Linked DNA regions of Coturnix japonica. The protein of the gene in region 4 interacts with the protein of the main gene of each other region in a biochemical or structural test. Links are inferred from orthologs where the notes say so. Each region holds a gene or a part of one and is shown on either strand. Other genes may lie near its edges.

Evidence for each region.
Region 1: the proteins of SNTB1 (region 4) and FRMPD4 interact in a test that uses a peptide from one of them, tested with the Homo sapiens proteins (2 studies listed by IntAct, with this or other methods). The link is inferred for Coturnix japonica from reciprocal best matches to the Homo sapiens genes SNTB1 and FRMPD4.
Region 2: the proteins of SNTB1 (region 4) and DGKZ form a complex in vitro, tested with the Homo sapiens proteins (2 studies listed by BioGRID and IntAct, with this or other methods). The link is inferred for Coturnix japonica from reciprocal best matches to the Homo sapiens genes SNTB1 and DGKZ.
Region 3: the proteins of SNTB1 (region 4) and GUCY1A2 interact in a test that uses a peptide from one of them, tested with the Homo sapiens proteins (2 studies listed by IntAct, with this or other methods). The link is inferred for Coturnix japonica from reciprocal best matches to the Homo sapiens genes SNTB1 and GUCY1A2.
Region 5: the proteins of SNTB1 (region 4) and ASNSD1 interact in a test that uses a peptide from one of them, tested with the Homo sapiens proteins (2 studies listed by IntAct, with this or other methods). The link is inferred for Coturnix japonica from reciprocal best matches to the Homo sapiens genes SNTB1 and ASNSD1.
Region 6: the proteins of SNTB1 (region 4) and TANC1 interact in a test that uses a peptide from one of them, tested with the Homo sapiens proteins (2 studies listed by IntAct, with this or other methods). The link is inferred for Coturnix japonica from reciprocal best matches to the Homo sapiens genes SNTB1 and TANC1.
Region 7: the proteins of SNTB1 (region 4) and CYSLTR2 interact in a test that uses a peptide from one of them, tested with the Homo sapiens proteins (2 studies listed by IntAct, with this or other methods). The link is inferred for Coturnix japonica from reciprocal best matches to the Homo sapiens genes SNTB1 and CYSLTR2.

The regions. Positions count from the first base shown.
Region 1 is NC_029516.1:111,273,979-111,276,541, forward strand, and holds the end of FRMPD4 (FERM and PDZ domain-containing protein 4), read right to left. Parts: intron 2,442-2,563; coding exon of another isoform or gene 2,437-2,441; coding exon 1,082-2,436; 3' UTR 501-1,081; downstream 1-500. UniProt on the Homo sapiens protein: Positive regulator of dendritic spine morphogenesis and density. Required for the maintenance of excitatory synaptic transmission. Binds phosphatidylinositol 4,5-bisphosphate.
Region 2 is NC_029520.1:21,144,165-21,147,664, reverse strand, and holds part of DGKZ (diacylglycerol kinase zeta), read left to right. Parts: 5' UTR 1-1,323; coding exon 1,324-2,060; intron 2,061-2,274; coding exon 2,275-2,383; intron 2,384-2,582; coding exon 2,583-2,678; intron 2,679-3,496; coding exon 3,497-3,500. UniProt on the Homo sapiens protein: Diacylglycerol kinase that converts diacylglycerol/DAG into phosphatidic acid/phosphatidate/PA and regulates the respective levels of these two bioactive lipids.
Region 3 is NC_029516.1:161,689,562-161,693,503, reverse strand, and holds the start of GUCY1A2 (guanylate cyclase soluble subunit alpha-2), read right to left. Parts: upstream 2,801-3,942; 5' UTR 2,656-2,800; coding exon 2,386-2,655; intron 1-2,385. UniProt on the Homo sapiens protein: Has guanylyl cyclase on binding to the beta-1 subunit. Isoform 2 acts as a negative regulator of guanylyl cyclase activity as it forms non-functional heterodimers with the beta subunits.
Region 4 is NC_029517.1:123,525,465-123,529,501, forward strand, and holds the start of SNTB1 (beta-1-syntrophin), read right to left. Parts: upstream 2,801-4,037; 5' UTR 2,758-2,800; coding exon 2,232-2,757; intron 1-2,231. UniProt on the Homo sapiens protein: Adapter protein that binds to and probably organizes the subcellular localization of a variety of membrane proteins. May link various receptors to the actin cytoskeleton and the dystrophin glycoprotein complex.
Region 5 is NC_029522.1:4,419,386-4,423,434, forward strand, and holds the start of ASNSD1 (asparagine synthetase domain-containing protein 1), read right to left. Parts: upstream 2,801-4,049; 5' UTR 2,778-2,800; coding exon 1,296-2,777; intron 753-1,295; coding exon 571-752; intron 1-570. Other genes in the region: ASDURF (ASNSD1 upstream open reading frame protein), read right to left, coding at 2,801-2,871, 3,680-3,755.
Region 6 is NC_029522.1:33,283,658-33,287,157, forward strand, and holds part of TANC1 (protein TANC1), read left to right. Parts: coding exon 1-422; intron 423-600; coding exon 601-709; intron 710-932; coding exon 933-1,055; intron 1,056-1,648; coding exon 1,649-1,885; intron 1,886-2,729; coding exon 2,730-2,915; intron 2,916-3,500. UniProt on the Homo sapiens protein: May be a scaffold component in the postsynaptic density.
Region 7 is NC_029516.1:151,145,293-151,149,432, reverse strand, and holds the start of CYSLTR2 (cysteinyl leukotriene receptor 2), read right to left. Parts: upstream 2,801-4,140; 5' UTR 2,473-2,800; intron 2,358-2,472; 5' UTR 2,283-2,357; intron 1-2,282. UniProt on the Homo sapiens protein: Receptor for cysteinyl leukotrienes. The response is mediated via a G-protein that activates a phosphatidylinositol-calcium second messenger system.

The DNA.
Region 1 (2,563 bases), on a different chromosome or scaffold from region 4:
TTTGTCATCACTCAGAGAAGGACTGTTTCTGGCTTGAAATATTTCATAGATATTTATTGTATTCTGAAAACTTCATTTTATTTCTAACTTATTTACAGTTAAACATTCAGAATCATAAAATATGAAGTATAAAATATTTAACAAAATAGATGCAGTTCATGTTGTTCAGATGCACCATAGATTTATGATGAAACAGTAAACAGCACAGGAATTTCCTGACGGTCGTGTCTCTCATTTACCAGGGCACATCCACCCTATACATTCTGATCTGATCAGTATGGCATCAAATTCTCCTTTCAGGGACCATCACCATTCTGGTTCCTATGACCTCAGTCTGTCTTCTGCAGGTACGTTCACTGTCTGAAATGCAACACTGTAATGTTCAATACATCAGATAGATACCCTCTAAACTCGGTATATTCAATACCTTCTATTTTTTTTATATATTATTTTTTAAATATAGAACTTTCTAGAAAAGAAGAATCAGGTAATTCAGGCAATATGAACAAAAGAGTCATTTATTATATATATATTCTCTAGTAACTTATAATAGTCTCTTGGATTTTAAATGTCTCTTCGCTATTTTCAATGCTTAAAAATTATAATTTTAAAACATTAAATATTGTGTTATATACATTATGATCTCATTTTTCATTTCTAAACACGGAGCATTCTCCAAGTGAAAACTTGGATGAAACAGAAAACAACTTAATTGACATAACAGACTTTAAAAGTTCACTTCATACAACCATAGATTTGACTATATGAAAAATAGCCAAAAGTCAATTTGCTCCTCTACAGGATTTTTTTCTGTTTGTTTTCCTGGTTGTGGGGAGAGGGGATTTTTTGGCTTTTCTTTTTGTATAAACGGAAGGACAGATCTGGTCAGCACTGTTGTCAGTGTTCAGTGTTTTATCATATTTTTAACTGCTTACCTATTTTATATAAAATAACAAAATATACAGAGAAAGCTGGATTTGTTACATTAGTTCATACACATAAAGTAAATAAAAGGTTTTTAGTTGTTGTTTTTTTTAATGTATGGCTTTGCAAAGGTAGATTATGAAGTGACTTTTGTATTTTATTTGTTTAAAAGCATTTTAAGAGAACGTGTTAGTGTGCTTACAATAGCGGCCATGGTAGTTGAATGTCGAGCCAAGAGTTTAATGCTAGGATCACTGGAGGTCTTGCCTGACACGGCTTCTGCAGCCTTCAGAAGACAAATGTAGTTTATTACAACCTCGTCTATCTTAGCTATAATTTCCTGCTGCTGAGTTTCAGAGTTCATGACTTTAACTAAACGCATGCAGGCTTCTGTTAAGCAACAGAGTACTTGAAAGCTGGAAGTCATAGCTAAAAGCATTTCCTCAGGGCTTTTATCAGCCATGGCCATTTTCCTGCAGGCACTTCCCAACTGTCTAGATTCCATAGATAACAGTTGTTTGTACTTAGAAAGTTTAAGGTCATATGTTTCGGGATGTAAATCTTCTCTCTTGCCCATACTTGCTCGGACCAGTGAGAGTAACTCATTGGCATCCTTTTGTGCTGCAATAAATCCATCAGGCATTTCATACATCTTCTCTTTCATCACATTTATTCGCGCGATTCGTGCATCGAAGGCCACATCATTGAGATTCACATCAATTTGGCCACCTTGGGTGTCAGCACTGCTCTTCTTGTGTTCATTAACTGCCTCATCCTGTGGGAACTCATCAGCTTCCGGGGACTCCAAGTCCTTCTGTTCATTTTCACTGGAAAAAGACTGACTGGCTGGTTCTGCGAGCTCACACGGGATCTCCGGTTTGAAGAGACATGAGAGCTGATGGCTTTCGTCTCCATCATCTTCATCATCATTGTCATCATTTCCTCTGCTCAGGAAGCAGTAGCTAAAGGGACCACGACACCTCCAGGTACTGGTGTCCAGCTTCCGCAATGGCAACGCTCGACACTGCTTGGAGTCCTTCTGACTGGTGCCTGTGCCCGAACACCTCTTACTGTCCTTCCTATCAGTGCTGACATATACACAGCTCTGGGAGAAACTTTTTGACAGCTTTTTGCCCGGAGAGAGTTCCACCTTTCTCTCGGATCTGGATTCTTCCCTTTGGGTAGTATCCATGCTTTTCAAGCTGGCTGTGGCTGCCTTACTTTCAAACAGCATCTCAATGCCTGCAGATCCTCCAATGATGCTGCTACTGCGTCTCAGCACTTTCCTGTTGTGCGGCATCCTGAGGCTTCCACCTATCATGTCATATGGCCGTAAACTAACTGTTGTCCCACAAGCCTGATTTACTTTGGGAATGTCACAAGAGTCTTGATTTTGACTTGGCACCTTTGATTCTGATAGCGTGGATGATAGCATGATGGAGTCAGCTAGAGGCTGTCTAGGAAAAGCTGCAGGCATGCCTCCTTGTCTTCCCTTTTCAGGCTCTGTGAAAGCTACACTAGGGGTAGTAGAAGAGCAGATAGAATAATTAAGCATCACCCTGATAATATTCAGAGATGAAGATTTTAAGTATCTTTAATAGTAGGGTAAATTGATTGCTGGAGCTTTCCAGTGGTCTCA
Region 2 (3,500 bases), on a different chromosome or scaffold from region 4:
ACATGTTTTATTAGTTCATGTCATTTTTAACACCTGTTGGTGATGATGCAATTCATTGCAGTATCCCACTGATGCTGGGGAGAAGGGGACAGGAATGGAGTGCTGCAGTGACAGGGACAGGCTGGAAGATGGCTGGTCAATAAGACATGCTTAAGTCCTCTGGAAAAGCCTTGTGGGCCTCGGTGGTGTGATGGGTAACTTGCTAGACACTGGGTGGGGATGGGTGTACATGCATTACTCGCTGTGATGGAACTTGAGAAATCCCTCTGAGGAGGTGGTACTTCGTTTTTGCTTTCAGTTGAGCAAGGCTGTAACTCCCCTAATGCTGCTCTCTGAACTGCACATTCTACTGGAGAGCATCACTATTTTTTTCCCTCCTTGTCCGATGTTACTGAGTACAGATTTGGCAGTGAGACTAGAGACTTCCTTGCATAACCAGGCTGGAGGCAGAACCAAGCCCTACCTTTCCATCTCCCACCTTTGTAGCAATTGAAGATCCAGAATTTGCTTCTACCGTGCTCTTTAGAGCCTTGAAACAGATTGGCTGGAAGAGAAGCACTAGCTCTGGAGAATGGGAGTGCTGGTGCTAGTCAGAGTCAGCTCCTTCCGCTCCGACCTTTGCATGCTAAGCTGAGAGCGCTGAAACCGCTGCTGCAGCAGCTTCCATCTGTGGCCCAGTGCTTTTCACAGACAGCTGCAACGTCCTGGCAACACACTGAGCTCTGAGGAAAAGGTCAAGAGACCCGTTAAAGCTCTTTCCAAAATGAGAGGGAAGTTTTGAGCAGGACAGATAGGACGATTTTCCTAGTTCTCCTCCGCTCCAACTTTCTCAGCCAGGCTCCACTAAATGTGCCTGCCCTGCTTTGACGTGCCTGATTGTTTTTCTTCTTTAGTGCTTAGTTTCCATTTGCCACAAATTCTGTGGGCCTGCTGCTGCTTGTGCGGAACTGTTACAGCTGCAGCACGAGGAGTGCCAGCACCAGTGGAGCAAATAGCATGGGGCAGTGAGTAGGGATGGCCTTGCTAGGGCAGGAGCTCATCCGTGGAGCGATCTCACATGTGATTCTGAGGGTGTTTTCGTCAGGCTAAGTTGTGAAAATAAGCATAGACTGCCTTAAGGAAGAGCTTTGCTTTGAACTAGAGAGGCCCAGATGCTCCCAGTGGGTCTCAGGGACTGGACCCAACACCATAGCACCCAGCTCTCAGCTCAGCTGTTCTGCCTGCTTTGCAGACGTGGGGCCATCGCCAGCCCCACAGATCTGTGGGCAGCCTATTTAACTCCTGCTTTCTGTGTCAACAGCCAGCGCCCCACCGCCAGGCACAATGGAAACGTTTTTTAAGAGGCACTTTGGGAAGAAGGGGCTGCCAGGCCCACGTCGTGCCAGTGTGCTGGCAGTGCCCACGGGCAAGGCCCGCCGCCGCTCCCAGGCTGGGCTGCCCTCCGCTTCACTGGCCCAGCGCCGTCGTGGCTCGGGGGCCCCGCTGCCAGCCCTGTCCTGTTTGCCCCTGCCCCGCCGCCGTGGTCCCCGCCGTCGCTCCAGCACCACACCGCCGTGCCTCAGCCCCCGCTTTGCCGTGCAGCAGCGCGGGGGCTGCCCGCCAGCCATCAGTGCCACACTGCTGGGGCCCTCCGTGCTGCTGGCCGGCCTCCTCCCCACCGGGCAGGAGGGTGCCGGGGATGCCTCCAGCTCCTGGTCTGCAGAGGATGGCGATGGCAGGTTGGATCGGGGCAGGTGGTGGGCCGAGGAGAGCTGGCTGAGCGTATTGCCACGGCTGCGGCCGCTGCAGGTCAGGCTGCTGACACGGGGCCCTCGCTGCCTGCGCCGCACATCCTCCCACTGCCTGCCCACTGACGTTGGCTGCAGCCGGGCTCCCCATGGCCTGCCGGGCCGCTACCGTCGCCTCAGCCAGCGCCGCCGCTCCAGCAATGTCCTCTGGCCTGGACTGCTGGCCACCACTCACACGCAGTGGCTGGCCCAGCAGTGCACAGGGGCTGCCCTCCCCGAGTGCTTGGGACCAGAATCAGCCTGCTGCCCCGACGGCTGGAGCCCCAGGCTGCTGTATGTATGGCGGTGCGCAGGAGGCAATGCTTTGGGAAGGGGGGATGTGGTGGGCAGGGAGGGATGGGCAGGGCTATGTGTACCAGGGAAGGCTTCTTCAGGCTCCACAACATTCTGGGGAAGCACCCCGGGGCTTTTACCTGACAGCCCGGTGGGCTTTGACACGCCATTCTTCCTCTCCTGATCTAACAGCTGGCCTTCCCATGTTTTCCAGGAAAGCTATTGCCAAGTCCAGCCTCCAGCACATGGTAGCCCAGCCAAACCCTGCACTAGCGCTGAGGAACGAGTCAGAGAGGCAGATACGCAGCACTGTGGACTGGAGCGTAAGTGGTGGTGTGTGTTGCTGGGCGTTGTGTGGGACAGGCTCCTGGCCAGGATGCAGCGGGCTTCCAAAGTGACTTCGGCTTTGACACTTCTATGGCCTTCACTGTGCCACCATAACTTGTCCCTGGCACAAAGCAGTTTGGGACAGGGTGATCATTTGAGGATGCTCAGAGGAGCACGTTGTCTTGTGTCTTTCAGGAGACTGCAGTCTATGGGGAGCACATCTGGTTTGAGACCAATGTCTCTGGGGATTTCTGCTATGTCGGGGAGCAGAACTGCATGGCCAAGCTGCTGGTAAGTCGCCTGGGGTCAGCCGCATCCCCTGCGTGCTCCTCAGCTGCGTGCTGTGCTGCCACCCAGCGGAGAGACCCAGAAGGCCCTGGTGCTGGGAGAACTGGGGGGCTGGCAAGACGTGTTCCTCCGTCTCTGTGTGCTGCAGCGCTGCATGCCCAGTGTCTGCCAGTGCTGCCATTCAGTTTGCAGCAGGTGCCCAGTGCAGGGCTGCATGCAGCTGCAGGTCACTGCAGGGAGAGGTTGTTGGGATCACACATGCTTAGCGGAAGAATCTGAATTCAGCTTCTCTGGAAAAAACTTACAACAGAGGGGAAGAATGAGTGGAGATCCAGGTCTGCTGTCTCCTGTCCCTGCATGCTGTACTGGAGCCCCAACAGGCCTTGCAGCAGCATAGCTGCACTTCTCTCTCCCTGCTTGCAGACTCAATCCTGCTCATGGTGCTGGATGTGCAGCACTGATGCTACCGTGTGCCTGCCCCCTAGCCTCATAGTGCCTCTGGATGAGCCAAAGCTCTGGGCCAGACCACGAACATGCTTCCCAAACAATGTCCTATGTTGTTCTCTGGCAGTGTCAGAAGAGCCAAGGACTGCTTTGTCAGTGGGAGAGCACTTCCCTGTTGTGCTGCAGACTCAGGAGCATCTGCTCTAGGCACATACTTAGATCCTGTAACTGGCGAGGTGTCTAGATTGTATGAAACTCCTGTACTTGATTTTTACATCCTGAAATGTATGAAGGAAGTGTGAGAAGTGGTTGAGTTTCTGGCCTCCTTACCCTGCTGTTCACATGCATGTTTTTCCTCCCATTTTCTCATCCTCCAGCAAA
Region 3 (3,942 bases), on a different chromosome or scaffold from region 4:
TCACCCCTGAGCTCTCTGCATGCATCTCTGCAGCACTAGACACACACAGAACATGGAGATACAGTGAGAAATTTTGACTCAGCATCTCAATCCCAGCTGTTACCAAAGGAAAGAACAAAACTAAGTATTGGCATCAGGAACCTGTAGCGTCCTTCAACTTTGAAAGTGTTCAGCACTGGGATGTGAACAGATTGCTGCCGTATTAAGGCTAAAATGCACACACTGAGCCTCTGCTGGCAAGATCTATTTTATATATATTCACACACACTCTACATACATCAGTGCTTCCATACTTAACAGAAATCTTTATGGATTTACAGAATGAAGACATACCTACATCTGCATCAAAGTATTAGAGCTCAGAAAGAACAGTTGTAAGTGCACCCTTCCAATTTGCCTTTAAATTTTAAAAATAATGGGAACGACTCTAATTCAGCACTAATTGTATGGCCAGTGTCATTTTTTAACTTCTATCTGAAGTTATTCCTGATTTAGATCAACAGATGTGAGAAAACGATCAGATTCCGAGTGTCAGACAGATGGTAACTGGACTTGTTGCAAGAAAGCATATATTCAGCATCACAGAAAAGACTCTCGAAAATATTAAAGAAGGCACCAGAACAACAAGGCACTTGAAGAGTGATGTGTCGGAGTCAAGAACGAAAAGATGAGAAACCGATTCCTTTCTCATACCAGGATGGCACCAATGTGACTTTCCCAACGTAAATGCCAATGACTGGTGCCAAAATGTGTAAGACAGAATGAAACTGCAGTTACAGTGCCAAGATAATAAAAGGAGTTTGGGAATATTCTATATCATATGAATCACATATTGAAATTAATGAAAATAAAGATCGTTACAGCAGTAAGGATTGGGATAATTATCTCCAAAGGAAACCAATGGAAACTGTTTCTTGGGACATGGAAGTGAGGTGGGATGAAATTTTTGCACTCTTAGCTTCAGTTTCCCCAGGAGCAGGAAGGAAGGAGGACTCCGAGACCGACCCAAGTTTTCTCATCTCTCAGTTCACAGAATCTGTTTATTTTTTCAAACATGTTCAACAATGAATGAAAGCTGTAAAGCCGTAACCGTCTTTTATTGCTTCAGGAGGTATCAGCCAAAGGGATAATACAAACAGTAAGGTTATCTAAAAATACTGCACTGAGCTACTTCAGAATATTTCCAATATTTCGGGTAACACATGCTCTAATTATACCCCAGCATCATTAACAAATTAAATAGCTTCATTTTTTGGTACTAAAACAAGGCAAGTCACCTGAGATACCATCTATTAATTTCAGCATGACAAGCCTGGGTTCCCAGTGGGGAGATAAAAAATCAATGGGAAAGAGAAGTCTTGGCTGTAAGCGGACGGCTGCCGGCTCGGTCACGCACCGCTAACTTCCCCCATTAGGCAGCCTGGCTGCTCGGATCCAGCCTGTTCGAGCAAGGAAACAGAAAAGAGGAATGAAAAGCAAAGCACACCGACAGCAGATGGTGATGAGATTCAGAAGTCATCTCCAAAGCCGAATAAGAAAAAGCCAAAAAGACACTGCAATGCCACCAAATTCAGCAGATGTGACTGCCGTGCGGATTAGGCTACTTGTTGCAGTCTACGTTCTACACCTGAGCACAGTAAGGTATCTCAGCAAGCAACAAGCGTTCCCTTACAGCTGTAACTTCATGAGGGAAATGTAGTGATGGTCACAGAGACAGCAGTGTAACACAGCTCTGGAGAACGAGCTCCTATTGCATACGCAGCCAGCGCAGCTCCGGAGCTGCTGACTGCAGTCACCCACAGCAGTGCCCGCACGCCTCACACGTTCAGCACCAATTCTGTTCTTTGTGGCATATGCACTGCTTCACTACAGGTGTAGCTGGAGACAAAACCATCAATCACGGACCCCAAAGTGCCCTCAGACGGCTCTTTCAGGAATGTGGGCACATCAGAGAGGCTCAGGGAAATCTGTTGCTGCAGTATTTCTGAGAAGAACACACAAACTTTCTTTTCACCTCGTTCAGCAAGGAAAAACCCTACGAAAACCCTGCCAACGCAAGAACATCTCCTCTGCGGTAAAGAACGAGCATGCTATGCATATACAGACGTGTGTAACTTTTCATACAGAATTGCTGCTAGCACCAGATGGCAATAAGCACTTTGTGACTCCGGATTCTAATGCCGAGAACTCGGCTGGAGTGCGGAGCGGGGCAGCGTGCGCCTCCCGCCGCGGCTGCCGAGCCCTGCGCCGCATCCCGCATCCCGAGCGGACCGGGCCGGTCCGGGGAGCTCCGCACATCGCTCCGGGGCTCGGACTCAGGAGCCGGCCCTGGAACAGCCGTCGGGAACCGCGCATGAGGAGGCCGGGCGGGCGCGGAGCACTCACCGCGGGGGCCGTCAGGCGGCGGATGCTCTCGCCCAGCGAGTCCAGGTTGACCCGCCGACGGCGCGGAACGCGGCGAGCCCCGGCGCTGGCCGCGGCGGCGGCGGCGGCGGCTGCGGCGGTGAGAGGTGGCTCGGCGGGGCCGGGAGGGCTGCGGCTGCCGTTCCAGCAAAGGCGGGACAGGGGACACTCGCCCTCCTCCTCGGGGCTGGTCTCCGGGCAGTCGGAGCCCAGCGAGCTGAAGGACTCGGAGGAGATCTTGCGGCGGGACATGGTGCCGCGGGCCGGCGGGGCTCAGCGCAGCGGAGGGCAGCGCGGGGCCGCGGGGCCGCGGGGGCGGCCGCCTGGCATGGCCGCGGAGCCCCTCGGCGGGGGGCGGCGGTGGATGCGCTCCGGGGCCGCTCCCGGCTCCGCGCTTCGCCGCGCCGCTCCGAGCCGCGGGTGCTGCGCGGCGCCGCCTCGCCGGGAGGCTTTAAAGCGGCGGCGGCGGCGGCTGCCCTCCTCTGCCTCGGCCGCCCTCCCTCGCTCTCCCCTCCCCCGGCTCCCTCGCTGCTCCGCGGGAATCACGTGTTGTTTGGAGCCCTTTCCTCCTCCTCCTCCTCCTCCCTCCTCTCCCCTCCCCGCTCGCCGCCTCTCGCACGCCGCGGCCCGGCAGCAGCCCCCTTAATGCCCCGCTCCCCGGCGCCGCGCTCTCCCCCCCCTCGCTATAGGGATGTCCCCGCGCTATGGGGATGTCCCCGCATTATGAGGGTGTCCCCGCATGGCCCCAACCGTGCCCGGCCGCGCCGCCTCCGAGCCCGCGGCGGTGCTGGACAGCTCCCTAAGCACGGGATGCCGGGGAAGGCGGCCGTGGGTGCCCGGCGCCGGAGGACTTCACTGAACGGCACAGCTAAACCTTAGGGAAATGGAAGGTGGTAAATATCGGAGAAGGCTGAAGGGCTGCCATCAGTTTTCAGAGGAAAAAGTTCTTTTCGGCTCTGACACTGTGGGTTACGTCCGAAAGAGTAACTAAACTCGTTCCCTGTTGTTACAATCCAGCTACAGTACCCATGTACTGTAGAAAGCCCACAAGGAAACATGCCCTCAGTGGTAGAGTTTCATCCAACCATCAAGAAAGACATTCATTCATCTTCTGTTGAACAAAACTTCCTTTGAAAGCAATGCTTTTAAGATCGTTTTTTCTTTACCTGTCCTCAGTATTATAGTATACACTTTACCACCTCATCATCTGAACTATCTGAGTGCAGCCTTGACAAAAGCCCACCTGAGATATTGGGAAGAGCACCGCAGGCATAGAGAGCTTTGGAGGATGGCCCAACACAACCCAAGTTCAGAAGGCCAGGTAGGCAGCTCTCAGAGAGGACATGGCGTGAATCACATATTTCACCAGGACATTCCTTTCAGTGCCACCATCTCTCAGCTCACCAGGTTTCTGTTGCAATTTTCTTCTTTCTCTAGAAATTTATATGGAGTAAGAGAAACAACAGAGCTCCTTTTGTCATGGCACAGTTCTTAAATCTCTGCATCTTGAAGCCTGTGGCTTAAAAGGATGTATCAAAA
Region 4 (4,037 bases):
CAGTTTAGTGCTGAGCTGGTAAATACCTCGTTTCACTGAGCAAGCAGTTTTAGAAGGATGCAAAGCCATGACGTCGGGTGCGCTGAGCCACAGCCTCAGAGCTGACCACTTCAGCATGCACAAAACCCATAAACCCTTTCCTGGAGATCACAACACCTTGGGTAACACTGCAATCTCCCCCTCACACCCTAACATCTGTCCCTCATGTGTAGCACCTCATGGTGCCTTTTCAAATTCTTTAAGCCCAAGTCAGCTTTTCTGCTCTGTGAGACACAAGCCTCTGAATCTCCTTGAAAACATGCATGTTATATTTTGGTAATACACAATGGCAGTGCCCTGCTAACCAGAGCAACAGCCCAGAGAGGAACTGTGCAGGGATTCACCCCAGCTCAGGGTGCTCCTTGTAATGCACAGCTTTCCAAGAAGTCGGGAAGCAGCACGTTCCTCTTGTCTGGGAGGTGAGGAAAAGCAACGCTCTTCCCTCCCGTACTTCAAAGGGGAAAAAATCTTCTGGCTATTCCTTCCCTTTATAGTAAAAAGACCATTTTAGGCTGTGCTACTGGAGAAAGGTCTCTGAAGTGGGAAACTGAATCCTTGGCTTACACAAGCCACTCAAGCAGAGGTTCACAGAATCCTAAATTGGAAGGGACCCCTACAGATCACTGAGTCCAACCCTAGCTGCACAGAGCAGCACCTCCTGGGGACACGCCGGAGACAATCCTGTATTTAGATATTCTGCTAAAACTGCAGAAGAAAACCAAGACAAATACTGCTTTCAGCACTGGAGTATTTTAAACATCTAAAGGGAGGACTACTGAAAGAGACTCTCAGTTTACAACTTACAAATTCCACTGCGGGAACAAGCACTGAAGCACATCAGCCTACACCTCCACGGAGCAAAGAAATGCAAGAAAACAGCTGCAGAGGCCAATGGAGCAAAGAGGAGTCGTCCCTGCTCAAACAGCTTCAAGTGTGCTCCTACCAGGAACAACTCAGAGTTTTTTAGCAGGCTTATGCAGCAGCAGCACAGTCAGGTGCTGTTTCCACAGGCAGCGTGCTGTGCGCTCCTCATTAGATCACAGCACAGGTCAGCTGCTGCTGGCCTGCACCCCGGGAGCCCCGCACTGTGCAAACAAACCAGTGGCACAATTCCGACATCACCGCTCCATTCAGACCTCAGTGAGTTTACATTAGGACTTCACAGGAATCTTTGCATGCAGTTAACAGGGAGGAGACATGGTTTGGTCATGGGAGCACAGGGCACGTGGTGGCCCTCAGCTTGTTAAAGCCTCACAGCAATCCCCGCACAGGTTTCACTGCAGTGTGGATGGCACTGAGCAGTTTCTCAGCAGCCAAAACCACAGATTAAATTTTCTCACCTCCCCCACCTTTACTGCACAGAACCACTTCTTAAAGCTTTTCCCATAACTTTGTGCCACAGTCAGTTGTTTGCAGCTGATGCTCATGTGTATCCCTGAACTGGCAGCAGCACTTCCTCTGCTTCTTAGAACATAAAAGAGACATGTGAAGAACTGTGTTTGAAGGTTACCTAATGCGCTGCTGGGATACCAAGGTAGGGGCACCCAGGGCTTGGAGGAAGGCATGGGGATGGCACAGTAGCACACTAAAAATGCCAATGACCTCTGGTTAAATGAACTTCTGGGCTAAGGTGCAATCACTTTATCAAACATATGCCAAGGGCACTGCTCAAGCTGTTCATTCTCTCAGGTCCAGCAACCACACAAATCCCGGGAAGAACACAAGGACTGCACGTCCATGATTGCCTCCCTCCTTATGAGCATGGTGTCCTGGGGAGTTATTCTGCCTCTGCTCAGCCCTTGCCAACAGTTGTTTCATGGACAACTCCCATACAACACATATACACACCATGCTCCAGACTCCGTTTCTAAAGCTGCTTCTTACCAAACTCAGTCATTCCCAGACACAAAACATTTGTGGGGATGGTTTCTGTGTCAGGAGGTACCAACAGCTTCCTCAGAGCCCACTCCCCCCGCCAAGGCCCGGTTCAGCCGCCGACTGTCGGGGCTCCGCAGTTTGGTCGCGCATCGGACGGCAGAGCCCCGACTCTGGCCGCTCTGCGGAGCCCCGACAGCCGCGCGGTGCCATCCGTGAGGCTCCGTCCCCGCGCCGTCGGGGTTCCCTACCGAAAGGGCGACCGGAGCGAGGCGCACGGAGCGGTCCCGCACCCCCCTCCGCCGGCAGCCCCGTACCTTCCAGCAGCACCTCCTTGCCGGCCCGCTTGAGTGCCTGCACCGCCTCGTCGTGGGTGGCATCCCGCAGGTCGGTGCCGTTGACGGCCAGGATGGCATCGCCCACGTAGAGGGCCTGGGTCTGGTCGGCCGCCAGCCCCTTGAAGATCTTGCTGATGAGGATGGGCATCTTGTTCTCCTTGCCTCCCTTGATGCTGATGCCCAACCCGCCCAGCTCCTGCTTCAGCACCTTCACGCAGCGCTTCTTGTTGGAGACGGCTTCGGGCACCTGCTCGGGGGGGTCGGTGAAGGCGGTGCGCACCGCCGAGCCCCCGCCGCCGCCCTCGGCTCCGCGGCACGCCGCCCCATCGCTTCCCAGCCCGTTGTGGGCCGCGCCGTCGGGGCGCTCCTCTCCGCTCAGCACCAGCGCCTCGCCGCCCAAGTTGGCCAGCACTTTGTGCCAGCGCTCCCGCACCAAAACTTCCAGCCAGCCGCTGCGCTGCGCCCGGCCGCCCCCGCCGCCGCCGCCCGCCGCCGCTACCGCCATCTTAGGAGCATGCTGGAAGCGCCGAGTGACGGCACCCCCGGCACGGCACGGAGCGGCGGTACCGGACTTCAGCCGGGGGCGGTGAGCTCCCGGCGCGGCGGGGTGGGGCGAGGTGCCGCGGCCGCCCCCCCGGGGCCGTGCCTGGGCGGGCGCACCTGGCGGCACCGCCCGCGGAGCGCGACTCCGTGCGGGAGAGCGTGCGGTCGGAGGGTCCGGGAGCTCCGCGAGCTCCGCACTCCCAGCTCCGCTGGATGGGCAGCGCAGGGTGAGCGGCGGACCTTCCGCGTCCCGCCGTCGCCGTCAGAAGGCTCGACTTGGGCTGAAAGCCGCCGAGAGCGGGGCGGGGGCTCCCGGCTTGTGCGGAGGAGAAGCGTGCGTTATCCTATGACTTTGCACTCATGAGCGTCCCTTCGAGCTGAGCGCGTTTACCACCGAAGGGATCCACTGAGAGCAGTGGTGTCAACCCCTCCATCCCCTCCCACCTTTTGCCTCTCCGTTGTGTAGCAGCGAGGGGAATGAAAGCAGTGGGATAGAGGAGAGTAATAGTGCTATCGGCAGAGAAGCTTTGGCAAAAAATACAAGTTTATTTTTCTCAGTTGCTTCTCGTAAATAAACGGATTAACACAAATAGTTGGTACAGAGTTAGACTACTTCAGTTGGGCAATCAAACTTGCTTCGCTGCTTCGGTGGATGAAGATGGTAAATGATTTTCATGAACCCTTTTGCAAATTTTTAAACTTTGTCCTTTGTTTGCTACGTTTTAAGCCCCGTGAAGTCCAGTTCTGCAGTCTTTCCCGTGCTCTCTCTCCTCCTAGGATGCAATCTGGTGCCTGATGAGTAGCCTGAGTCCCCAACTCAGTTGTGAAAGTGGACCAAAAAGGTCACCCTGGCAGCTTTGAGGTGTCATCAGCCAGTCTGGGTGTGCTGCTCTGAAGCAGTGTCACTGCAGCCATTGAGAACACCTCAGTTTCCCCTCCATCCAGGATGGCTCCAACTCCTTGTCAGCTGGGCTGAAAACTACAGCAGTTCAGGAGCACTTGGCATGTGCCAAGTGAGAGAGGGAACGGCCTCAAGTCGAGCCACGGGAGATTCACATTGGATATTCAGAAAAGTTTATTCTCTGAAAGAGTGGTGAGGTGTTGGCACAGGCTGCTCAGGGAGGTGCTGGAGTCACTGTCCCTGCAGGTGTTGAAGAAACGTGGCACTGAAAGCTTAGTGGGTGTGGTGGTGATGGGTTGATGGTCAGCTTAGATCATCTTTTTCAACCATAATGATTCTGT
Region 5 (4,049 bases), on a different chromosome or scaffold from region 4:
TAGCTGCATGCTACTGAGGGAACTTTCCAAAGCAGTTTTATTGTCTGAGAGGGTAGGTAAAACATACTGCAGTTTTGCAAGTCGGTGAGCAGTAGTATGGAAGAAGTAAAGTCAAAAACCCAATTCTTAAAGTAGTCTAAAGACCTGGAAATACACGGGATATTGATCATGCTTTGATTGCATGGGCAGGAATACACAGCATTTCTGCTAGTGCATCACAGCCTCTCCAAGGCAGCGTTAAGAAACTCTCCATCTCCAAAGTCAGTCCCCAGGTTACCACAACAGAACACCACAAGGCTGAGAAGGCCACTGCACTTAAAACAGTAAAACCCACTTGATTGTGCTTTCTCCAACATCTGTTGCTGCTTCTTAAAATATCCAGATAGAAATCCAATGTTCATGTTGCTACATTTCCATAAGTATCTTTGCCGTGGTACTACAGATTAACACCCACAGAACAGAATTCAGACACAAAAATGTGCTAACAAGATTCAAATAAAGCTTTTTTCTCAGACTGTTTGAAGCAGAACTTAACCAGTAAAAACCAGTTTTGATTCATGTTAGTATTACCTGGCTTCTTTCCCATGATCACCAATAATCCGGTCGTCTCTACCAAGATTTCTAGAAGAAATACGACCTAACTCCATTTCAAGTTCCTTATTCAGACCTTCTGGGCCACATTTCTTGAAGCAAACACGGTGTCGGGAATAGCCAGCAAGCTGCTCGTCTGCTCCAATGCCTGTAAGCACAACCTAAGAGAAAAAGAACAGAGATACCTTTCTTAATATCTAGGGAAGCTCGTAATACATACCAGATCTTAGAGCTACACACATGAAAACAACATACAAGAAGGAAAGAATTACTCTTTGTGGATTGAACAGTCATTCAATCAGCCTGTAATTACAAAGATTGCAAGCAGTCACCTTTTGTCATTATTAATAGCTACTTTGCCACACAAATGGTGTGCCTGAAGAATACACAAAGTTCATTGTTTTGTTCAATTGGATTAATAGCACTTGCCCACTACTGAGTTTAGACACTGAGAATGATAGGCACTGACTTTTTTCCTAGTCACTACAGCTTATTCAAGCTCACTGAAAATCCATTCACATAAGGAACTAAATGCAGGTTTAAATTCCGGAATTACACAGTTTATCTGTATTGTGTTCTGCCAAAGAATTTCAGAAAGCTTGTGAATATTAAGGAACCCTTCTAATTTCCCAAACAGCTGTTTTCACATTCACAAATTAAGTGTAAGAATGAAAATATGAAACAGTTTAAGAAACAATCAATACCTTTGCAGGACTTTTATATGGCTTCATTTCTCCTTTCTTATTAATAAACCCCTGTCCTCTGGAAGCAAACCAGATAGCACAACCAATGCTATCATCCAAAACCGTATCCAGAGGATAAATTAAGTTATGAATGAATTGCTGTCTCATTTCTTTCAATTCCTTTAGTGTGACATTAATTTCCACAAAGTTCCATGTTCTTGAAGGGTTAAGGGCTTCCAGTTCTTTCAGCCCCGCCCTACCAGTAATTCTGTCAGGAACATCAAAGCGAGATAAATCATCACCAATTTCAGCATTGAGATCTTTATGGTTTTCTTGACCATGATGCAAATTCAGCTGCATTTCTTGGCTGACACAGCTTTTAGTGGCACCTGTTCGCTTAGTTGGTTCTTTGGTCATGAAAGCTACATTGAGAAGATCAATTGGTTCCTCCAAAGGAACGTGTCGATCAGCAAGGGCTGCAATAACCATAGAGTCAACCCCACCAGAAAAGAGCACCGCAACACGAGCCTTCCTGGGACAAACACCCTCAACTTCTCTTGTTCCCTGATCTTCACCTCTGAAGAGTAATAAAACTCGTTTCCTCACTGCTTCATCTAAAACATCAATGAACTGATGGACCAGTATTTTCTTGCGTTCCTCTGCAAGATATCCCTCTAGAGTTTGTATGGAAACCGTGCAGCTAGAATCACTGCTATCAGTGCTTGCATGTTCAACTGAGGCTTCAGAAATGGTTCTGTTTAAGGGGGTTACTGGTGCACTGAGACACATCTTGGACTCATTCATCCTAACAGTGATGTGATTTGGTAAGTCTTTAGAAATCTGACCCAGAACATCAATGAATATTTCTTCTTCAGTTTTCTCTGTGCAATTGTACTTCCATGGAAACAACGTTAAAGACAAGGATTGAGTTGTTGCACAGTCTTTGAGATCCATTTTGAAGATTCCAGATGCTGGGACTTCTTGGCATTGGTTACAAGATTCTGAATTCACACTCACAGATGAAAGACAGAAAACGTTATCATTCACATTACTAAACTGCCAAAGCAAACTACGACGACCAAAATAATCTCTACCAAACCATAAGCTGTGTCCAGATGCCTGGTAATAAATAAAAGACCACGGACCCCGGAGCGATGAGAAGAGCGATAAAATATCAGCTTCACTACTGCACAGTCCAAGATGATGAAACATAACCTCAGTGTCATTCTCTGAATCTCCTACATGTACTCCATTAAAAACTTCTCCATTCCAAAGAAAAACATTGTTATTGACATCTTCCAGAGGCTGAGGAGTCATCTGTCCCCTCAGATGAAGTACGTGGCCAGAGAAAAGACACTCATAGGATGGCTCACACACAGTCTTTATCAACTGTTGGCTGCTGTCTGGTCCTCTTCTTCTAAGAAGGCAGTGCAGATCCTCATTGAAGTGATCATAAACAGTACTCTGGCCAGATAGAGCAACAACACAACAAATACCACACATGGTGACTGGAAATTCAAGATGGACTATTTCTTGACTTTATTCTTCTCCGAATTTTCCAACTCTTGCTGTGCTTTCTTTAATTGATCTAATGTATCTGCATTATTAAAAAAAAAAACAAGAGAAATGTCTAAGTGAGTTTAGATCTAAGAATTGAGTGTCATTAATTACTTGATGATTTAAAGACAGGAAAACTAGGAAACGCACATGCTACAGTATTGATCTAATACAAACATACCTCACCACAATCTAATTATCATTACTTATCCATAGATTAAGTTCTTTTCCCCCTTGAGGAAATTCATACTGCAAGTTTAATAATGTAAATGAAAAGCCAATTATTGCCTACATCATCAGCACAATTTACACACTTTTAGTAAGAAAAATGAATAGACAATGTGTCAACACATTAAACTCCAATCAAAAAAGATATGGGCAACTTTTCATTCCAGAAAGAAATTGTATACTTTCACATTTATTTCTAACACCCTTCTTCAATTAACATATGTCTTAATCTTCCATTTCCCTATCTTGTTAATCCCACAAATTCATTCTCTCAGCTGCCTAAAGATGTCTAGCTTCACTTTCAGTTTCCTAAGGGTTAATAATTAAAAAACAGAAGGAGGAGAACTGAGCACACAGAGCTTCCCAAAGGGCACTAAGAAAAGCGACTCCTCTGTGGAAGGACTCCCTCCTGTATCTTCAGCACATGCTGTTTTACCACACATGCAAATCAAGTGGGAACCACATTCATTCAGCCCAGAAAAGCAGGCACAACTGAAGTCCACTTGGTATTTAACATGCAGTTGCCAGCTTTCCCACTGTACTACAACTTGGAAATCTTCAACAGCTACAGAGACAGCTTTTAAACAGTTGAACTATTACCTTTGGTGCAGCAAACTTACTTTTGCATTGAGACAGTGTTTCTGTTCGGTCTACAAGGAAGAATATGTTGCTATTGGGTTGCTGCCTATAAACTTTCTGTAAAATAAATACAACACCACATTAAGTAAAAGTAGCATACACAGGCAACCACACTGCAGCAGAAACTCACTGAAGTCCACTGAGATACCCTTCCCTTTTATGTCTGAAAGATACCTTCTCTGCCATGAGCAATGTCCTCATGTCGCACCAAAACATTTCAGGAACAACCCACAACCATTCTGCATTTTCCTCCTTTCCTCATACTTAAAGGGTCATATTTTGTTTTACATCATATGCACATGAAAAATAAAGAAGCTTTTAACATAAACTGATCCACTCAAACATCATAAT
Region 6 (3,500 bases), on a different chromosome or scaffold from region 4:
ATCATGAGAAGCCTGGGATCTTATCTCTATTTGAAACTGACTCTGGATCTTTTCCAAAAAGGTCATTTAGTAATCAAAAGTGCAAGCTACAAGGTAGTTCCAGTGTCTCTGTCAGAACTGTACTTACTTCAGTGCAACATGAAGTTTATGACCAACTCTGCGTTTGAGCGAGCCCTGCCAATATTAAACGTGGCTCTGGCATCCTTACATCCCATGACAGATGAACAGATTTTCCAAGCTATTAATGCAGGTCAAATAAATGGAGAGCAGCAATGGGAAGACTTCAGCCAAAGGATGGAAGCTCTGTCGTGTTTTCTGATAAAAAGACGTGACAAAACACGGATGTTCTGCCACCCTTCCTTCAGAGAATGGCTGGTTTGGAGAGCGGATGGTGAAAATACAGACTTCTTATGTGAGCCAAGGTAAACGAAGCTTGCAAGAAGTCATTTTCAAATAACTGCAGTTATTTACATAATTGATCTCAGCTATTGCTGAGAGGACAGATGAATGTTAAAAAGCAAACATGACTAATATTTTCCGTGTTTACTGGAAAGTGTAGTTATAAATGCTGTTCTCTTTGAATTCTGTTCCTTTTACTAGGAATGGACATGCTTTATTGGCTTTCATGTTTTCTCGACAAGAGGGAAAACTAAACCGCCAACAGACTATGGAACTTGGGCATCACATACTCAAAGCTCACATTTTTAAGGTAAATCCATTAACATAATAGATTTCAGGATCTGTATGTATCAGTGTACCTTAGAGATGCTAATCTGAGTTGCTTTAATAATTTGTTGGAAGCTTGTACAAAATACTTGAAATTGTTACTGGCATTAGCAAAAAATTTATCTTCTTTTTGTACTGATGAAATATAGCTATAAATAGTCTTTTACACACTACAGAGAGATTTCCTGTTGTATCATTCCTGCTAGGGTCTCAGTAAAAGGACTGGAATTTCTTCCAGTCATCTTCAAGCCTTGTGGATTGGTTATAGTGCTGATGGACTGTCTGCAGCCCTCGCTTCCTTGAGGAACATCTATACACCCAATGTGAAGGTAAGAAAATGAGCACTCGTGTATAATCAGTGTTCCATCTGCCACTGTTGCTATTACTCTGTTAACGAATGTTGAAATTAATGTAACAGTTCAGAAGAAAACAAAAACACCGTGCATCTGTAACCAGTAACTGAAATCTCTTACAACAAGCCTGCAAGTACTTTTGTTGTTAACATTAACAACATGTTGTTAATGTCCCATTCAGTTTTCCTTGATAGTTTGGTGTAAAGAAAGATTTCACCTTGATTTTGTTGTAGCCACACTCTGTTACTTAGGATGCCTTTTCAGGAGGTCAGAGGTATGACCTGTTTTGCTGGGCAGGGTCTGTATGTTCTTGTATGGAGGAAGTATCAAGTGAATTGAATGAAAAGAAGAAGTACTGTGATAACAAGATGAAAAATGGCAGAGCTTCACTCTATGAGATGAATGCCCGAGGTTATGGATTGGGATTGATGCATTCCTATTTTAGCAAAACTGCTGTGCATTTTGATTGGAAGTTTGGTTGTCTACACATGTGCACACACTCACATTTTTATTTTTTTTAATGCAATCCAATTTGAATTAAAAATTATTTTATTTAAATTAAATTTTAGGTCAGTCGGCTGCTGATCTCGGCAGGTGCAAATGTGAATTATAAGACTGAAGTACTAAATAATGCTCCAGTACTGTGTGTTCAGTCACACCTTGGACATGAGGAAGTGGTGACTCTTCTACTAGAATTTGGAGCTGCTATTGATGGAACATCAGAAAATGGAATGACCCCACTATGTTATGCAGCAGCTGCGGGTCACATGAACATAGTTTCACTGCTGTGCAAAAAGGGAGCAAAGGTGAGCTGAGACACAAAGGCTGCAGTTGTCACAGCCAAAAGTCTTGCAGGGGCCTAAGAAAGATGCTGATTACATAACTATATGCTGATATAATTAACACAGAGAGTACAAAAAGAAAGTCCAGAACGTGTACACAGACTTTTCAACAGAACGTTTTCTCTCTGATCGTGTCCATGACTAATCTTACATGCATTCATAATTACTCCAAAGGACTACGCACCTACCATCAAAACCTTTGCATTTCTATTGCTTAGAAAGCCAAGTACAAAATGCAGAGGTCTGACCTTCTTCCAGCCTTTGCAGCGCAGCCAGTCGTCCCTCTCTGTGAACTGATGCCTGGTTCCTTCCCAGCTGGAAGGCTGTACGCTTTATTGCAGTCCCGGCCCAGACCTGTAGCCTGTTGAGGTCCATGAGAATGGCAGCACAATCATTTGACATATCAGCCACTCTTTCCAGTTTTTTGTCACCTACAAATGTGGTGAGTTTGCACTCTGTCCCATCATACGGGGGCACTGATGAACAGTCTCAGGCCCATTGTTCATCACAGGAGTACACTGCTAATGAGTTGTCTCCAGATGGACTTTGTGCTTGGGCTCATCTGTTCAGCCAGTTTTAGGTACACACCACTGAATGTTGTGTTATGTGTGTCCATCAGCTTGTCCGTGACAGTGTTATGGCAGACAGTGTCAGAAGCCGCACTAAAGGCAGCACAGACGACATGTGCAGTTCTGCCAAGCCAGTCACCTTGTCTTCTTGTGGAAGACCACCAGGCTGGTTAAGCATGATTTTCCCTTCCCCCTGTGACCTTTCACTAGACTTTTTAACTTTATTTTTTCCAATGCAGGCTGACTATCTAGACAAAAAAGGGCAGTGTGCTTTGGTCCACAGTGCACTGAGAGGGCATTGTGATATCCTTGAATATCTTCTGAATGTTGTTTGGATAGCTTCTTCCCAGGAACAAAATTCACTACGAAAAAGCCAAGCACTGCAGCAATCGCTGACGGCAGCTTCCAGTATGGGGCACTGTCAGGTAGGTTGATAACTGGAATATTTCCTGGTCTGCTGGAATTTATCACAATGGTACAACAGTACTTGCAGGTTTTGCTTTGTTTTGTTTTTAAAGGGTTTTTAAAGCAGAATTGTTGAAATTTCTGATATTTTAAGCATTCTGCATTCTTAGAAACTCTTTCCAGTGCTGTAATTAAATATCCTACACAATGAATTGCTTCAGAATTTTGTCTACATGTAATACTCTGTCTTTCTCATTGCTGTTCTTGAGGCTGTACTATGTCTCCAGTGGTAGTGATAATATTCACTGTTTCACAGGATGCATTTGAGGATTCTGAACTGCAGTTAACTTGAATTCATGATTAACTCAATCTAATAAAAAATCTTATTTGTTACCCACTGATGGAAGTGAAAGCAGCCAACTACTCAATTATGAGAAAAATTGATCTCATCTATTATAAAAAATTACCTTTATCCTAATTTTTGTTTTTCTCAGCTAGAAAAAATGTTTCATTAATTTTAAATAAATTACATTCTACTATTTCAAAGTTTAGTATTTTCCGTACATTCTGTGTAGCACTTCTCATGCATCCTGAAAAATTCCATG
Region 7 (4,140 bases), on a different chromosome or scaffold from region 4:
ACAGGCCCCAGTTCTGGCAGGAGGGAGGGAGGGAGCACTGTACCAGCAATCATGATAGGACTCACAGTGTCAGTGTTGTGGGAGAGAGGAGCAGTCCCAGGACCAAGAAATCGACATCATTTTAGAGGGAATAGGAAAACAGTAAAAACAACAAACAAACAATCAAAAGAAACCACACAAAACCAAAACCACACAACAGCAACAACCAAATCACAGAGGATTCAACAAAACTTCTGTAAGGTTGGAGGAGCTGGATGCACTGGACATACATGTGTAGGAAATATCAAACTGAATAGACAGATGAGAGGCCAATAAGTAATCAGGACCAGATGACATTTGTATGAGTACCCCAAAGGCTCTCAGACTTGGACTGCTGTCCAAGGCACATAACCCACCATTATAATCATGTGCCATTCCAGGGGACCACTGCATCACTAGGGCAGCTCTTCATCTACAAGAACAGCGTGGGAGAGAAGCCTGGGGGCTGTGAGTCAGCAGTCCTGATGCCTGGGAGCCTACTGACCCCCAAGACCGATTTCCATATATATGAGAGCTGCTCCAAAAGTAATGCCTCCTGTTTTACTGTTTTGGCCCATGACATTAGAGTCAGAAGGCAATGGTATGGCAGTAGATGTGGAACCTACCCAACAACATCCTGTTACATTTTGTTGGCAGATGGCATCAGAGGGACAATCTGACAAAATGGTGTCTGACAAGGACGTGTGTTTGAAGCAAAGGAGTGTCACAGAGCTCTTCCATGAGGAAAAAATTACACCCACTGACATTCATTGATGCCATGCTGGAAAGCTGGCAGATGAGCATTTTAGTAGAAGGTGATAAATGCTGGAGCAAATAACCTAAACCATGCTTACATGATACAGAACTTGAAACTGTTACTGTGAGGAAAGGGCATTTGGCATCAGTGATAGACCCATCATCGACTGTTTGCCAAAGTCATTTCTGCATAAGCTGCAGCGGAAGCAACAAGAATTTCAAGAAAATGAGTCACATCACCAAGAAGTCTGGGTCAGCTGGTATAAAATCACCTTGTATAAAACCTTCCTGCATTCCCCCAGTGAATGTGCCATGCAGTTCTGCTCTCTGCACCCCCCAAAAAAAGACATTATAGAGTTAGGGAAGAGGCAGAGAGGGGTGAGTGAAATCAGCAAGGTGACGGAGCAAGGACTCAAAAGTATGGGTAAATTCAGCATAGACAGGATAGACATGCAGTCAAGCTTTACAGGTTCCTGAAGGAGGTGGATAGTGTGAATGTACCACTACTGATGTGTTCCCACATGGGGTGCTCATCAGGGCTGTTGGGAGTCTATGGTCAGGCAGATAGAAGAGGGCTGTTTTCTGTGTCATCTCCTCTCACTGGGGGAGGTGAGCTGGAAGAGGCTGCTGCTAAAAGTGTAAAAGGGAAACTCTCCATTTCCAGACTGAGAAGTTTCTCACATCCGCTACTTTGAAACCCTGAGATCTCTATAACACAGAGAACATATTTTCGGTGAGGTGTTCTGCACATGCAGTGATAAATAAAGGTATCAGAATGTTCATTCAAAATACATGTCTTTTTTGCCCTAAGAGATTAAATATATTGATCCGTTTGTATGTCAGGAAAAGGAGGTGCTCCGTGCATCTATCACAACAGTCCTCTGTCAGAAGAAGGCTTCTGCCACAACAATCCCATACTCATAATATTAAGGCAGTCATGGCATTGCTGCTATGTTTGGGATTGCTTGCATCTGCCTCTGTATCTCGAGAAAACCAAAAGTTTTGACATGTCTCAAAGTTCCCATTAGCTTTCCTTCTGCTGTCTTCGTGTTGTGTTTTAAGGAGTAGCGTTACCAAGAATAAATGTAGCAGAATGCAGTATTTGGAATTAACAGTGAATTACATCCACCAAAACATGCAGTGCTTTATTAACCTCGCTGCATGCACAATATTACAGATAAATAAATTCAGACTCTAACTCCTAGCCTCTTTAATTTTAAGTTTGCCATTGACCACATATTTTTGTCATCTCGTTAAAAGCCAGCACTCACTTAATCAGACCCACTACTTGACTGTCATCTTCCATCTGGAAGCACTGCAAGTTACATAAATCCACCCTTTCTGCCAAAGAAAATTCTCAAGCCCAACTTTGTCATAGAGAAATTTAGTTAACGATCACAGCTTCTATCATATGCAAAGCTTACCGCAAGCAATATATAAGCAGATTGTATTTTCTTCACTGCAGCTATTCTATCTATGTCAGAAAAAGCAGGCAAGCCTTGTCTTACCTCAGCTGGTGTGCCTTCTGGTGTGCTCGGTCTCCTTCTTCTGCCCACTGTTGCTTACCACTTTCAGTTTTGTTGCTGGAAATCAGAAGCACAAAAACTTGAAGCAAAACCCGAATGCTGTTTACGCAGAAGCCACACAAGAGCAAACAGTAGTAAGAAAAGGAAGTAGGTCCTGATTAGTAGATCTTACGTTTTCTTAAGAGAGAAATGTTCTCAGCTCAAGGAGGGCTGCTAGCAATCGCACGGCAGTGTCGCATGCGCTTTGGCCCAACAAAAAGGGCCCTGCAGCTAATGTAGCATCTGGAAACTGTCTGGATTCCTGTGTTTGGGCCGCACTTAAATATCTGCACTCTCAGTAACTGGCATTGCTTGATTTCTTAGGATAGGTTCCCGTATGTCATTCACATGGATCACTGTAATTGGAGTCTGTGGAATTACGAAGCATTATTTCCCAGGCTTCTCGTGCAGAAATGAGTGAAACCATAAGCATGCTTCTAGGGGTTAATGAGTAACCATATTCAGCACAAGCAATTCAAGGATGAGTTTGTGGAGCCAAGGGACTGCTTTTTTTTTTTTTGACCGCTGATAGGGAGTAAATACGTTGCTATTTTAGGCCATAACAAGAAGCTGCAGTGAACGCCTTACTGCAACAGTGATCACAGGATCATAGAATCATAGAATTGCTCAGGTTGGAAGAGACCTTAAGATCATCAAGTCCAAACACAACCTGACCATACTACCCTAACTCTAACAACCCTCCACTAAATCATGTCCCTGAGCACCACATCCAAACACAGATGGCACAGATGAGTGCTCCTAGTTTACTGCAGTTGTGAAATAGGGTTCTATACACACGGCAGATGTAACTGTTTATTCTTCTGTTCTGTCAACACACACGGGAGGACCAGATGTATCTCTAGGTGCTGTGTTTCATTTCATAAACATCAGGAAATACCTCTGTGCTGTGCAGTGACAGAGCACTGGCACAGGCTGCCCAGTGATGTGGGATCTCCTCCTTGGGGATCTTCCAGATCTGCGTGAATGCAGCCCTAGGCACCCTGCTCTGGGTGTCCCTGCTGGGGCAGGGGCTGGAGCAGAGGGACCCAGAGGGCCCTGCCAGCCTCAGCTGTGCTGTGATAGCTGGCAGTAGGTCAGGAATCCTGCTATGTACTACAGTTCAGTAGCTGGAGAGTCTCCCAGCAAACCTCACCACCTACACTTACAGTCGTTTACATCCCAAATTGCTTTGGACAATCCTGTTTGTAATCTCCCCTCTGTTGGCCACCTGCACTTCACTGTCATTTATTGCTAGTGCTCTTCACTTTAGCTGTATACATGGACTACCAAAGAGGTGTAATAGCCCTATTGCTCCCCATGTGGGGCTGGAGTTGCAGCAGGCAGTGGCTGTGTAGGTGAGTGTCACCAGAGCTCACAGATCCCTGCACCAGGGAGGAGGTACATACAGCTTGTAAGCAGTGCTATAAGCTTTTTAAAGCATAGACCTGAAGGAGGACATGGAAAACCAGCTTATAAAGGAACTAGACTAGTAACTTCAGACCTTGCCTGCTCTCGTTGCACTGAGGGCCTTGCATAGTTGTCCTCTTCCAGTTGCTTTGCTTACTGTCCCAGTCCAAAGTCTGCCAGCAAAGTTGCTCAAATGTGTGCTCTCAAACCCTATTTAGCCTTGGAGATATTCACCCCAGACACCTGAAACAGGAGGTCTCAGCTCATTCCCTTTGGATTGAAGCAGAGTAGGAAATGATCCCACAAGTGGCTTGAAGGACAGCTTTCAGTGTCAGAGCCTTTTGGGAGGAAGCAGTGGTGCGCAACAAGGAGCAGCATGGGAACTACCACTTCA